4 linked regions of the Drosophila melanogaster genome follow. The protein of the gene in region 1 interacts with the protein of each later gene in a pairwise test. Each region holds a gene or a part of one and is shown on either strand. Other genes may lie near its edges. The genes, in order: CG13965, NC2alpha, RpLP2 and BORCS6.

What was found.
Region 2: the proteins of CG13965 (region 1) and NC2alpha interact in a two-hybrid assay, tested with the Drosophila melanogaster proteins (one large-scale study listed by BioGRID).
Region 3: the proteins of CG13965 (region 1) and RpLP2 interact in a two-hybrid assay, tested with the Drosophila melanogaster proteins (one large-scale study listed by BioGRID).
Region 4: the proteins of CG13965 (region 1) and BORCS6 interact in a two-hybrid assay, tested with the Drosophila melanogaster proteins (one large-scale study listed by BioGRID).

Annotation. Positions count from the first base shown.
Region 1 is NT_033779.5:19,961,118-19,964,587, forward strand, and holds CG13965 (uncharacterized protein), read right to left. Parts: upstream 1,236-3,470; 5' UTR 1,182-1,235; coding exon 1,158-1,181; intron 1,098-1,157; coding exon 720-1,097; 3' UTR 641-719; downstream 1-640. Other genes in the region: CG42866 (uncharacterized protein), read right to left, coding at 322-462, 522-545; CG16772 (uncharacterized protein), read left to right, coding at 1,608-1,637, 1,709-2,614; CG10680 (uncharacterized protein), read left to right, coding at 3,114-3,164, 3,222-3,248, 3,309-3,464.
Region 2 is NT_033778.4:21,668,084-21,672,549, forward strand, and holds NC2alpha (negative cofactor 2alpha), read left to right. Parts: upstream 1-2,068; 5' UTR 2,069-2,163; coding exon 2,164-2,205; intron 2,206-2,412; coding exon 2,413-3,396; 3' UTR 3,397-3,510; downstream 3,511-4,466. Other genes in the region: PIG-M (phosphatidylinositol glycan anchor biosynthesis class M), read right to left, coding at 1-905; CG42380 (uncharacterized protein), read right to left, coding at 928-1,125; CG42379 (uncharacterized protein), read right to left, coding at 1,134-1,388; CG42381 (uncharacterized protein), read right to left, coding at 1,388-1,397, 1,454-1,610, 1,672-1,735; CG15676 (uncharacterized protein), read left to right, coding at 3,646-4,194.
Region 3 is NT_033778.4:16,584,476-16,587,693, forward strand, and holds RpLP2 (ribosomal protein LP2), read left to right. Parts: upstream 1-1,653; 5' UTR 1,654-1,747; coding exon 1,748-2,089; 3' UTR 2,090-2,257; downstream 2,258-3,218. Other genes in the region: Cdk4 (Cyclin-dependent kinase 4), read left to right, coding at 1-203, 269-404, 477-560; Dolk (dolichol kinase), read right to left, coding at 2,819-3,036, 3,129-3,218. UniProt on the Drosophila melanogaster protein: Plays an important role in the elongation step of protein synthesis.
Region 4 is NT_037436.4:538,960-542,906, forward strand, and holds BORCS6 (BLOC-1 related complex subunit 6), read left to right. Parts: upstream 1-1,891; 5' UTR 1,892-1,981; exon of another isoform or gene 1,982-2,042; 5' UTR 2,043-2,081; coding exon 2,082-2,469; intron 2,470-2,525; coding exon 2,526-3,000; intron 3,001-3,057; coding exon 3,058-3,103; 3' UTR 3,104-3,188; downstream 3,189-3,947. Other genes in the region: Cypl (Cyclophilin-like), read right to left, coding at 3,271-3,718, 3,811-3,893.

The sequences.
Region 1 (3,470 bases):
GTCACTTATCTCAAAATAGAAAAAAAAACAACATATTTTTAAAAGGGGGTTACTCATTCTAAAGAAAGGGTCAATTTATATTTATAAAATCCATTTCTCCTCATTTGAAATGTATATCGCTTGGATAGCAACAATTAATGCGATTCAATTTATTATTTACACATTCGAACAGTGGAAATGTTCAATTAAGCAGTGATCCATTGATATGATGAACAAGGCTTCCGCTTCCCATTGTCTGGCGAGATCCGAGGCATTATGGCCCTGTGAACGACTTTGCAACGGGCCATAAGTAATCGCGTGCAATCCCAACCTTGTCGGACATCAGATGGAGTTACGTTGTTTATGGTGGTGCCTCACACGTGCTGGCCAGTTTTTCCAGCGCTTTTCCTTCTCGATGTTGTGGTATCCATCGTGGCCCACGACATGTCTGGGCACTACTAGCTCCAGGGACAAAAAGAGGCACTGATGTGAAAATATAATATATACGATAAAAATGTTACTATTTCTTTATCTCTACTTACCAAGCAGAAAAAAATCAACCGCATTGGGAAACAATAGACTGGCGACTAATTCAATTCGTCATCTGTGAAGTTCTTGGTAAAACCACATAGGGTGTTCCCGAATTTCGACGGAATATATTAAAATTATTTAGTTTTTTATTCAATAATCTTCAGAGATTGGTCACAAAACGAAAGGGTATAATGGGATATACATATGAGCTAGGGACGTGGCGTGGTAAAGGCATCGTTCCAGCTTGCCCAATGCTTCTCCGTCTTCAGGCTGTGGAAGCCATCATGTGCTCTAACGTGTCGAGGTCCCTTTATATGGCTTCCTGGCTTCACAAATGGATCTCCTCCATTTTCAGGGTCAGGCGAGCCGTTCGGGTCTGGGTTGTCCGTGCTATTAACCATATCGGTGCTATTTGTTGGTGATTCTGTGACCTCCGACCCCGCTTCTGTGGTCTGAGTTAATTCTCCGATGGAACTGGCTTCTGTAACTGGAGACGTTTCGCCATCTGTTGGGGACGCTGGAGATGATTCAGCCGCAGGGGTTTCCTGAGCCTCGAGCGCGGCTACCAAGAATATAGCGATTCCAATCTAGAACAAAGAAACGTTCGATTATGTGCAATAATGAGGGAATGCCCCATTGGCACTCACCAGCTTCAGTTCAAGTTTCGCCATGCCTATCGTCACACCTGACACATAGTATGTGTACCTATACTGCGTCGAAACCAGAAGCGCCGACTGGGCAAAGCCACCTTTTATAGTCGCTGCGCAGGTGGAATCGATTGGAGCAGTTCTAAATTGATTGCGGGAATCGCTGCCTGGTTCTGCGGGCAGAACTAATTCTCTTAGTGACCAACTGATAGATGGCGATCTTTAATTTGCGAACGCAGTCCGGGAAATTCCGGCAGACGCATCCAACACCTGATGCCAATCGGGTTTTTCGAGAGAGATAGAGAGCTGATTGCTCTGGGGCTGTCTGTAATTGTTGGCTTACCGATTTCCATAATGGTGGGCGATTCTGGAGCTATATAAGTCAGCTATGGCCGGCAGAGAACAATCAGTTTTCGCTTGGCCCTTGCTAGTTGAACTCAGTCGGTTGGGATGTTCATCAAGTTGCTTCTAATTAGCCAGGTTGGTGCCAGATCTTGGCCAGGACAAAATGGCTCGAACTATGATTAACTTAACATACATTTTAATTCTAGCTGCTGGCGCTGAGTTACGCTCAGTTGTCGCTCGACGAGGCTAAAAAGCAAATCGATGCCTCGCTTTACAGCGAAGAGGAGACTACCGATGATACGCATCTGCCGGAGCCCCACCTGCCCCCCCAATATCAGCCTCATCATCCCCACAAGAAGGTGACCACCACCACTCCCGAGCCGGAAACCACAACTCCAAAGCCAGAAACCACCACGAAGCCCGCAATAGAGCAGGAGGGTGAGGCCACCGCTGCTCCCGATGACGGACTGGGTCAACTGGATGATGGCTTGCAACAAAACAATGATGGATCTGCGCTTCCAGAGTCCACCACTCCGGAACCGGAAACCACGACCCCTACGACGACCACCACCACAACGCCAAAGCCCCATAAGCATGAGCCCCACTTTCATCCCCATTCTTATCCGCATCCTCACCCCTATCCCTACCCCATTCAGTATCCCTACCCCCATCCAGGAGTGATATTCTCTGCCGCGGGACCTAAGCTTACTCCTCCATCGACCACACCGCCCACTGCCAAAGATGCGGACAAGGAATCGCCGGAGCTGTCTGGATATCCCTCCTATCCGACCTTCAGATCACCGTACTCGCCCTACCAACCCCAGGTGTTCCCTCAGCCTCGTAACTGGCCCAGCTTCCCAGGATACGGACCTCCCAGTCCCGGTTTCGGATACCCCCACAACCACAATCACGATCACGAAGAAGACTCCGGCGAAGATAAGCCCAAGGACAAGTCTGGTGAAAAGGATAAGGACGAGGATGTGGCTCTGAAGCCACCAGGATTTAGCTACCCGCAGGTCTATTTGATTCCCCGAAGACCAGTGATCTCTGTGCCCAGCTTTCCGCGTCCAGGAGGCGGATATGGTTCGCCCTACGGCTACGGACTCTACTAACACTCTCCGATAAATACTGTGAAAAATCTCCGAGTCCAGATAGTCAATAATATCTTAGTTTTATTTCAATCTTGAAATGTACTTCCTAACACAATAAACAACTTTTAGATTATATTTTCATGAGTTTTTAATATTTGCATATAATATTTAATGCTTTCGATCGTGTAAATCTGAGTACAAGGTTCTTCACTGAATGTGGGACTGCTTGGAGTTTTCTTTCGGTGCATTAAGAACTAGTAAGTAAGTTAAAGGCTCCTAGATTCGGGAAAATGATAATTGATGATTTGCGCATATGAGATTGAGTTATGGGCTTCTGATTTCCCTATCGTGTAATCCCCAGGCTGATAACCCCGGGCCCCGACGCTCTCACCTTGGTGATTTCCAGTCGAACGGGTTGGGATCGTGGTTGCATTTAATTGCAGCGCATTCCACCCAGTCAACTCATAGTTCTGTCGATCGTCGGAAGTTCGAGACGTGAGTGTCAGTCGAGATCTGCGAGATGTTGCCGCTCCAATTCGTTTTGCTGGGCTGTCTGTTCATCGCTCAGGGGGTAACTATTCATCGGTTTGTTCCACAATTTAGGCTTCAATGAGTTCTATATTTTCAGATATGCCACACTCTGCCGGATCCCAAGGTAAGTTTGCTAGCAAACAATTTAGATAGTATCTTCTTTGCAATATTCCATAATCCACAGCTAAGGGTGCCTCGTGAAACTATCAACATTCCCACGCATCTCTTCAAGCCAGTGAGTCCGAAATCGAGCAACAAACCTATTTCTAATAGATCATCCTTAAATGGCGGAAACAGCTCTGCCCTGGCCGAAGCAAATAACGATGTCGAGTTTCTAGAGGTGAGT
Region 2 (4,466 bases), on another chromosome or scaffold:
GGGTCCTTGCGTACGAAGTGGTACAGGTACGCTTCATATATATATTCCCAACCGTACATTGTGTAGAAGGTCCAAGTGAAGGCCACTAGGCTGATCAATGTTCCACTTATCAGGCACAGTTGTTGCTTGTTGGGCCGCAGGATTTGGCACAGGAAGTCGAGGGGAGTTTGTGTCAGCCGCGTTGATAGCGATAAATAGTATGCCAAACTGAATAGCAACGGATACAGACGGAGGTGTATCACTAGACCGTGAGCCAAGCCCGCTCCGAATATAAGCCAGTAACTCCTGGTGACATTGTGCTCAGATTTTAACAGCAGGTATATAGTTAGTATCACGAAGAAGCTTGAGAAGCAATCGCCGCTTCCACGTGTGGATATTACAGCCGTCAGCGGGTTGTATAACCAAAAGCAAGCAGAGGCGCGGGCCAAGTTCTCTGGATGACTTCGCTCATCCAGGGCATCCAGCGATTGGTCCGAGTCCCGTGGCCTGTTGAACTTGCTAAGCAGGTGTTGTACGGTCTTCTGGTACTGACTCTTGATTTCCATGTGCACCAGACGGTAAATAAGTGTGGCGATGAGAAGATCGAATGTCGCATACAGTAGTTTACCCCACGCCGGATGAAGCAGGATGTTAAAAGTCTGCAGATATGCCATGATTGGGCTATATCGGTAAGTATGCCTGGCGAAGGGTGTGTCCCCAGCCAGAACTTGACGGGCTCCATCAGTCACCACCTTGTAGTCTATATCGGTGTAGGGCACGGCGGACTGACTGTCGTGTAATTGTCCGTAGCAAATTAAAGCTATTCGCAGCAGGGCGGATATTAGTAGATGGGTCCGAAAGCTAGTGTAAAGGATGCGGCGACCCAGTCGCTGCCATCCAGTGGTCGCAGCCTTTGTTTGAGTCATCGTGTTTATTGTTTACGTTTGTCTAAAGCTTGGTCTTCATTTCCAAAGCGGTCTTGCGGATACAGCTTAGGAACTCCTTGAACTCGGTGTCGCAGATTTTGTGCTGCACGTTTAGATCACGCGACACGCAAACCGCATACGCAGTGGCTTTGTCCGCGCACTTGCTTAGCAGAACTGGATAGTTGCGGATTCTTTGGTTGGCTTTGCGCACCGATTCCATGCCTTAGCTTAGCGCTTGTGAGGCGGAACTTTGTTCTCCGGCGGTGGTAGGGGATCGGCGATAAAGCAGTCAAACAGGGGCTTGGAGAAGAAGATCAGAAGTGAGCCTGTGATGAAGGAGATCTGGAACAGGCGTGGATTTCGCTGAATCCACGTGCGTTTGGGTAGCACAGCGGTTCGCCTGCGCTGATTTGCTTGCTGTTGCTCCTTTTGGTCCAGCAAGTCTTGAATTTCCTTCGGAGGCCTATACTGCGGTATGGACATTATTTGTTCCTGCAAAACGAGTTGATAATAGTGTATATGGAATAGAGAAGTTGGCTACAACTCACGACTTGCCGGTTGCGTTCTTTTCCTTGGATGCGTCTGGTAGATAAGTCTTCTCCAAATCGATTCCACTGCAGCAAAGCGATTCCTTGTGCCACTTTAAACAGCACTGGCGCATTGCCTCAAGGACATCCAAGCACTTGTCCTCCTGGTAGTGATTCTCTGTAACCGAGTGCAAGTCAGCTTACATAACCATGAAAATGGAGTCACCGGCGGTGCTTACTGGTCAGACAGGCTTGTATGCGGCAGGCGTTCGGTTTGCAGGGATCCTTGCGAGTGTCAGACATGTAATCCTGCCCAGAATTCTTACGATATTAAATCGCTCTTGCAATATGTGAAAAGTACTTGGAAGTGTTCTGCACTCTTCTTCTTCTTGGCGGTTGTAGTCATTCACAGTGCACGATCAAGGTAGCCAGACTGCGCGACGGTCAGCTGTGTAGGAAACCTAATACATCAAAGCAAAATAAAAAACAATCACATAAATAACAACAAAAAGAAATAACATCTCTTATAATGTACAAAAATTTTTAATCTTTCAAATTTTGATATTAATACCTTTTGCTTCCCTGTGAATACCCCGCCTGCTGCGAGAGCAACTGCCATTCACCCATCGACGCCGACAGTTGGGCACCAAGGAACTGTTCTTGTGTGAAAAACACACACACATTTGTTTTATTTCACTAGGACTCTTGACGATTACTTCACAAATCGGAAAATGCCATCGAAAAAGAAAAAATACAACGCACGCTTTCCGGCGGTAAGTTGAAACCACCGATTGGCGACAGGAAAGCTCCAGCCATTTGGCGGCCGTGAACGCCGAAGATGGGTTATCAGTTTTCGTGCATGTGTACATACATATGTACATACACGCCTCGCATAATCAGAGGCTCAAAAGAAGTAGAGGAGAAACCAAACCGGTGCGAGATTATAATGTTTCCAAACCATTACCATAAACTCCTTGCAGGGTCGCATCAAGAAGATCATGCAAAGCGACGAGGAAATCGGGAAGGTGGCCCAGGCGGTGCCTGTTATCATCTCACGCACGCTGGAGCTCTTCGTGGAGTCGCTGCTGACCAAGACGCTGCGCATCACGAATGCGCGCAACGCCAAGACGCTATCGCCATCGCACATGAGGCAGTGTATCGTATCCGAGAAACGCTTTGACTTCCTCAAGGAGCTGGTCCGCAACATACCCGACATCAGTGTGGCCGAGGAGGCCGCCTACAACGAGGACGATGTGTTACGCAGCTCGCCAGAGGAACAGTATCCAGATTCAGACACGCCATATGATCTTAGCCTGCCATCGACGTCAATGCGCTCGCAGGCGAACGGCACAGCTGCCTACATGCGCTCCATGAGTCTGAACAACGGAGCCGGATCGGGCGGAGGAGCCGCAGCCACCAAGCGGCAGTTTCAGTCGCAGCACTCCACCCAGGAAACTCCCACCACCAGCACCACCCTGCCCGCCAAGCTGGCCCGCTCCGGGTCCATGCCGGCCTACACGCCACGGGGCAGACCGCCCAATCACCTCAAGAAACAGTCGGTGCAGCTCGATACTGCCATACCCGCCCCGATCTGCAACTACGAACTCAACAAGCCCATTGTCAAGATCGACTACAGCCACGTGCAAATGCCGACGGCGAACCTGTGCACACCGGACGCCTCTGATTCTGGGTCAGGATCGGGCGCCGGATCTGGAGCTTTTAACTTCGACATAGCTGCTCCGGTGATCAATATCGATCTGACGAATATCGTGGCCGGTGGAGCACCTGGCAGTGGTGTGCCCCCCGCCTCTATTGGATTACCAGCGGCCACGCCGGGGGACAACAATAATGTGAACCAAATGGCTGGAAAGAGCAGCGCTCCCATCATTCCAAAGGCCACAGCGGCATCAGCGACCCCCACTGAAACCGTTTTCGAATTAGACGAAGACTATGACAATATTTGATTAGGATCTATGTGAATGCGCTTTTAAATTATTGATACATTAATATGTACTCTAGGTCTAAGAAATCACAATAACATTTTTTGCAAAATAAAGACCATGCTGGATTTTAAGCTGACGCAATGCGGAGTACTTTAAATAGAGAAAGAAAATTTATACATTCTAGCAGATAATGCTGTTTAATTTGCATACGATATTAAATCAGTTTATCTTTGAATTAGATGTACTAAACAAGTTCAACAATTATTGAAAATGTTTGCATTCATAGACACCATAAAAAAGCCGCCTCTGGGCGGCCGAAAGTCATTTATGCCCATCCCAGAGGCCAAGTTAGTTGACGATGTCGTCAGCTACATCGCCAAGCCAGAGTTCTATTCGACTGTTCCAGCGGCATTGAAGATGCAACGCCTTTTCTATGTGCAATACAGCGAACTGGCTGCCAAGTTGGAGACTGACCTCACAGCAGTGTTAACCCGTTTGGAGGCTGCCAAAAATAATTTGGAATTGGTGAGGAGGTTCATAGACAATCCTGACAAGGAAGTTCACAGCCTCGTGCAAATCGCACAGGGAGTATTCAGATGGGTGAGCATACCGCCAGTGCAAAAGGTTACCCTTCAAGTGGGCGCATCTCTGCAAATGGAATTCGAGCTGTCCGAGGCGGAGGAGTTCATCAAAAAGGACATCACCAGCCTGGTGAAGCAGCAATTGCAACATGAGCACGATATCGACTATCTGCAGGATCAGGTGAACACGATTGAGATGAACCTAGCCGTATTGTATAAACATGAAGTGGAGAACTAGAAGCATCCCACCATCCTTAAAATTGCTAGTACCTTGTAGTTGCTTATAAAGACATTCGTTCTAAATAAGTCTTTATTGTCTAAATGCCTTAATTTCCAACGAAGTACAGCTCTCCCTTGGAGTTCCCCACTAATTCATTCATTACAATTACATTATTAGCAGCCCGGTAAAGAGGTCAGAGTATCGGGACCGTAGGATCCCAGACTGTGCCCTACAAAATGTGACCTTTATTACCGAGCTCGGCTATTTACAAGCCTATACACATCATAATA
Region 3 (3,218 bases), on another chromosome or scaffold:
TTGGCCAAGACCTACGGTTCGGAGATGAAGCTCACCTCCGTGGTGGTCACCTTGTGGTACCGCGCACCCGAGGTTCTGCTCGCCCAGCCCTACAACAGCACCGTGGACATCTGGAGTGCCGCCTGCATCATCTTCGAGATGTTCAATCGGCGCGCCCTATTCCCGGGCACCTCCGAAAAGAATCAGCTGGACCGCATCTTCGAGTGAGTGCACAAATACTGCCATTGAAATCGGTGATTTTTAATTACATTTATGCGATTTCACGCAGACTGACCGGTAGACCCACCGAGCAACAGTGGCCACAGACCATTTCCGTGGCCCTGGAACACTTTCCCCAGCGGCATCCAAAGAGACCAAAAGACTTTTGCCCACACCTGTGCAAGTACGCCGATGATCTGTTGAATGTGAGTATGAAAATGAAGATACATATCTTGTTGCATGGTCTAGACTAACGCATACCCTATGTTTGCCCGCAGAAAATGCTTTCCTACGACCTCCACCTGCGACCATCCGCCTTGGCCTGTTTGGAGCACGATTACTTTCAGCAGGAACCCCTATAGTCTCGATGCCCAGAAGGATAATGGATAATGGATTATGGATTATGGATTATGGATTATGGATGTGGAAGTGAAAGTGGCAGTGGACTGATCATTGCGGCCGCGCTTCGTTCTTGTTACCAATGTTCCTTTAAGTGTAGTGAAGCATTTTGTTTATTTTTTCGCGACAGTCCAGTTATTGTGTCCGGGGATACGGATCCGGAATAAAGAATACCTTAATTTGTTTGTAGTCGTAAGTTAAGTGTGAATACTACTGCCGATCAACTATCTGATGACCATTACATGTGAAACGATTCTCGAGGGCGTTTGAAGGCCCTCCAAATCGAAATGTGATACACAAAGTTCAGGAATGCATTATACAATTTCAAAATTTTGTACAACAATCATTTATATATGCAATTATATATACAGCATACAATAAGATGGGTCTCATGTCTTTTCTGCAATTTATTTCAAGTGGGGGTGCAACTTAAATTTAAAGTGTTTTTGAAGAATAATAAATATCTCATATTAAACATATTTTCGAAAAAAATTTATTTTTTATACAGCTTTTTCGAGTTTTATTACAGTTTTATATTTATGTGTACAAATAACAGTTAAGTTCTGCTGTTAAAACGATGGTCATGTTAATCATCGATAGCCAGCTGTTAACTTTTACGCATCCCTAGTTCCTTCTCTTAGCTTACGATCACTCTCATTTTGCTCTCTTTCCAGCACTTAACAGTATGTTAGACCTCGCCTAACAGAACCGTTTCAAATGGTGTGACCGCCTACTGCAAGAGCAAAGTGCTTCCCACTATTACGATAGCCAAGTTTGAAACCCAGTGTTGCAACTGATAACATTTCCATGCTGTAAGAAAGGTCATATTATTAAGCTAATATAAATACTTTTTGATGTTGTAAATATAAAAAAAACACACCAAATTGTTCAAAAATCAATAATATTGCTCTAATTTTTATTTAAAAGCAAAATTGAAAATAATATTTGAATTTATCGTTTCATTAGGGGTATTGCTAGATAAGGATGTGGTATACTTTGGTATATATAAGTATGAGCTGGTATTTTCGAGCCTCGACCGCGCGGCCACACTGACTTCCGCCTCTTTTTCGACGACAACTTGCAAAGGAAAGTTGTGTTTTTCGTACATTTTGCCAATTCACGTTTCGTGTCAAGAACCCAAGACTTAAACATGCGTTACGTGGCTGCTTACCTTCTGGCCGTCCTCGGTGGCAAGGACTCGCCCGCCAACAGCGATCTGGAGAAGATCCTCAGCTCTGTGGGCGTTGAGGTCGACGCCGAGCGTCTGACCAAGGTCATCAAGGAGCTGGCTGGCAAGAGCATCGACGACCTGATCAAGGAGGGTCGCGAGAAGCTCTCCTCGATGCCGGTGGGCGGCGGTGGTGCCGTCGCAGCCGCTGATGCCGCACCCGCTGCCGCCGCCGGTGGCGACAAGAAGGAGGCCAAGAAGGAGGAGAAGAAGGAGGAGTCCGAGTCCGAGGATGACGACATGGGCTTCGCTCTCTTCGAATAAGCGGTTGAATGTGGCGAATATACTGTGCAACACACTTGCGAGGCGAGAAAGCAGCGTTCTGGAGCAGCCATTCATACATGGCCGGCCAGTCTACACACTTGTGTAGCACCCATCCGTTCACCATTTCTACGTAATAAAAATCAGCAGTGTTTGCACTTTATATAAACCAAGTGAAATTGTGTTTTTTGTGCCGTTTATGCGGTTATTTTCATGGTTTTTGTGCCGTTTTTTCACCCATAACAGTGGATCCACGTGTTGGCTAACATTCTGTTGGACGCCTACGGAGTGGATTATGTTAACTTAACAGTCGGCGGGGTGCACTGTTAAGACAGCGCATTCTTATTGGATTTTTAGATATTTTTTAGACCTTGTGTATAACAAACAAAATAGATGGAAATTAGTAACTACACTTTCAGAAGGGCAAAAATGGATCAGAAGACGAGATGACATATTGGTAAAGATATAAAATAACCTGCTGTCCGGTTCTAGAAATCTTGTATTTATAAATATTATCTAAACTAAACAAAATATCAAACTTATAGCTTTGTGTTGGATTAGAAAGGTAGCATATACATTTTTAGGGAAGTACTTCTTTTTAGTCCCATAAAAGTTCGTCAAAATATAATATGGAATATAGAGTTTTATAAACATTCTTAATAAGTAGTTTTATATATAAATACACCGAGGAATGCGTACACTAAAACTAATTTACATAAATATGCATTCTATTTAGGCCAGGCCCACAATGGTATAGAATATCAGGGGTAGTACCAGGTTGTCCACCTGGTCGGTGAACGCCTCCACCAGAGCCGAATTCAGTGCTGCGAAAATGGTGGCGAACCACTTGGCCTGGCTCATGGCCACCAGGCCGGAAATCTCCAGGAGCCAGACGGCCATGAGAATGGACACCACGAACGCAATGGTGCCCTCCAGGGATCGGGAAGATCCTAGAAGTATGGCACGCGTGTTAAAATAGAATCTTATATATGCGAATGAACGCATTGAAAGATCAGTGTATCTTTCAGTTCATTCTACTTACTTCCCCACTTGTTGCGTCCCAGCTTGGATCCCACTACACTGGCTGCAGTGTCTCCTACGCCGACAGCTAGAATTCCCGATAGCAAGGCCA
Region 4 (3,947 bases), on another chromosome or scaffold:
TTCATTTAAGTGCTCGACGAGGAAATGGTTGTGGGAAAAGGCCAGAGAAAACCCCGTTCAAGTGTCGCCCATGAAAATGGAAAATCTTTCTTCGATGCGATGTAAATAAACAGTAAGAGTGCGACAACATTTGTTTATAGAAATGGAATGGAATTTAAAGTGCGAAATAGGGAAATACTTAACAAAACAAGGATCCAGAAATTGAGTTCTTTTATTTTCGACCAACTTGCTTGTTTTTCCTATTGGATTTAGACGTTTAAAAATACATTTTTTTACAGAATATAAAAGTTAGAAGCTAATTATCGAGTAATTCCTTTCTCCTGATTCATCACATGCTTTTCTTGTCCACATATCAATCCACTTTTCCATATTATCGATGCCAAAATAAACGATTGATTGATTGATTGAAAAATCAACCCACGCATTTTAATAAAAACAACAACAATTCAAATGTGCAGTTACACACACATAACTAAAAGGGAAGAGAGTGGAAAGCCGAAAGAGAAGAAGAGCGAGAGAGAGCAAATATTATCGCAGTTATTACGAAATCGCAATCGAAACATAACGGTAGATATAGATAGGAAAAGCACCAATACAATAAAGCGAATATAACCGCTAGAGGAAGAGGGGAAGAAGTGGGTGGGTGAAAAAGAAAGATCGCTGTCTCTTTCTCGCTCTCATACTTGCTGACTGCACAATTTGCAGTTAAAAGAAAGAAGCAGAACGGCCTGAGAAGAAAGACAAAGCATAAGAGTAACTGGCCAAGAAGAAGAAAAGAACAAGAAGTCAAGAACAAAATAGAAGAGAGCACACACACACACACATTCGTACGTACCCGTAGAAAACAGAGAAGGCAAAAAAGTCTTTCCTTTTTTTTACACTTTTATCCATTTTCAGTTGCATTTTATAAGATTCTTTAGTACAAACAATTTAACTTACTTGCTTTTTTTAGCAGCCACGCATGCGTCGAATGGGAATTTATGCTCCTTGAGACTCCAATTGGAATTTGTACCCCGGCTGCAAACAGTTTTTTTTTCTCTCTTGCTTTATTTCCACACTGCACACATACACATATGCAGCGGCACATACACACAAGTGCACGCACTGCAGTCGATTTTGTTTTTTTTGCATAAAACTTTATTTCATGTATGCCACTTGTACATTGTTTGTCACCAATTTGCGTATTTTGTACATCAAATTTTATTTTACTTTTCGTTGCCTTCCTTATTATTTTCCTAATCTTCACATGCACTTTTTTAGCGACGCCAACACACACATTTGCACACGCACACACATGGCGAGGATGAGAGAGGAGAAAGAGAGCAAAACACCGTTTTCGTTGCTTCCTTTTCGCTTATTCCTCTTTAGCCGCTTCTTTTCGATTCTGGCTCTTTTTGGCACTTTTAGCCCCAAGTTGCTAGCAATTCACTTAGCGTACGAGCACTAACAATTAAAACGAATAAGACTCGAAAAATACGATGGAAACGCGAACATATAAACAAAAATCTACATTGGTTTTATTGCAGCGCTACGCAGGTGTGTTTTTACGCGCTCATCGCGCAATTAAATTAGAACGCTGCAGATTTACTTAGTTCACTCCAGTCTGCCCAATGCGCGCCGCACACCTCGGAGCCGCAAATTATAAACACGACTGTCTTCGATTTAACGGGCTGGCCTATCGGTCCTATCGATGACTCGATAGTGCGAGCTGGAGTGTGACCATTTCTTGGTAAAAGCAAAATCGTGAAGAGTAAGTGTGCGATACTATCGAACTGTCATATACTCAACCAAATAACATCTGAAATCTGTTTCTCACTAAAACCGAAATTTCCATCAGGGTTAGGAAAATATAGTTTACGCACATCAAGTTGCATAGGTCAATCCTACGTAAAAAAGGCTCGATATAGGTAAGGTGGACCTCAGCCTGAACAGGGCCTAATGCAAATACATTCGATAAATAGATGTTATCGATAACCATTTGGTATATACCAGTAAATGCTTTGTTTTGGTTTTCATTCAGAAAATTGACATACATTTCTTAGTCTGCCTAAAGTTCCTTGGATTGAAAAGAGCAGTGCAGAATGTCGCACCGCCACCAGGACATTCCCATCCGCCCACGTTACGGTTATGTGGCCGAGGAGAGTGGCCCATCGGAAGGGGCAGCCAGGAGTTCTGGATCCGGAGCCACGCCCGCCTCCTCCTACACGGAAATTCCGTTCCTGGCTCAGTATCCGGGAGCGGTGCCAGAGCACGTGCTCCAGGATCTGACGCCCACAGCCACTGGCCATGCTGCGATTCCCGGAAGCACAAAGACAAGACCCAACGGCGAGAAATACCTTAACCTGGATTCGGGCGAGGATCCCGACGAGGAAGACGATCCCTTGGAGGAGGAGGACAACAGCAACTCGAATAGCAACTCTAAGGGCAGTTCCGGCGACATCGAAAGGCACAGACTGAAGGCAGAGAGCAGTGGGTTCTAGGTTATCTACCCATAGTTCCTGACTAAAGCATCTTCCTTCTTTCAGCTGTGCCCTACGAGCTGGACGGCGAAACCAGTGACTCCGACGGGATGCGCCACTTTGTGGCCCACGATCTAGAGGCCAAGTTGCGCGAGCGCGTGGCGGCTTCGGCCTACTCCTCGGAGCACACCACGCCCCTGAGCTCCATGGGTCCCATTGGAGCCACTTCCGGCAACGGTCTGCTCACGCGGCGGTTCCTGCAGTCGCGCAACATTCCCGAAGTGGACGGCAGCGTCTTGAGCGACATCGAACTGGAGGCTCAGTACTTGGCCAGCTCGGTGGACAATCTGATGGAAAACCTGGGCAACCTGCTGCACTCAATCTCCTCCATAACGGCCGACAACGTGGAGGTCCATCGCAACGCGGTCAACAAGCTGACGGACACTTTGGACGCGAATATCAAGTGCCAGTACCAATTGCTGGCCAAGGCGGAGGAAATCACCAAGTCGATGAAACCCACAGAGCAGCTGGGTCAGCGCATGTAAGTGGGTCAATTCAAGACAGATCCCTTTAGTGTAATGGACTTTCTCTTCCGCAGAAGGCAGATCAAGCGGCTGGTGGACATGTTGGACAGCACCATGTAAAATAGGGCTACGCTATCCTGTGATCAACCAATCAAAGAGATCTTGTCTTTCTAGTCATTCCGTAAATACATATAATCAGTGTTATAAAATCCATATGGAAAGATACCTTTCGCTTGTTTAAATCGTACTTATTCTAGCAGTTCCTCCAAAAAATCCACCTCCTTGGCTCACAGCTTCTCCACCTTGGCCTTGATGATCCTTAGGGGATCCACGGGGCGATCGTTCTTGTCGGTTTCCACCATGCCGATCCGCTTGACCACCTCCATGCCCGTGTAGACCCTGCCGAAGATCGTGTGCTTGCCATCCAGCCACTGCGTGGGCGCCAGCGTGATGAAGAACTGGGACCCGTTGGTGTCCGGTCCAGAGTTGGCCATCGAGAGGATGCCCGCGCCCGTGTGCCTCAAGTCGCCGTGCAGCTCGTCCGCGAACTCCGATCCGTAGATGGAGGCGCCTCCGCGGCCAGTGCCCGTGGGATCGCCGCCCTGGATCATGAAGTCCCTGATGATCCGGTGGAACACCACGTTGTTGTAGTAGCCCCTTCTCGAGAGTTCGGCAAAGTTGCGGCAGGTGTTGGGCGCGTGTTTCCAGTACAGCTCCACGGTGATTTCTCCCATGCTGCGCGGGGCACAAATGCCACAAATAATGTGATAAACAAATGCTCAGTCTTCAGTTTCGGCGATTATCGAGCATTCAAGCTCCGGACTCACCTCGTTTCCAGGGTCACGAAGTGCGGCTGCCACGCCTTGTCGGGAATGCCACCAGCATTGTTGGGATCGCTTAGGGACAGCATAACTATATTTGTTGTTAAATTAGCGAGACTTCAGTAAAATTGTTAAAACCGGCA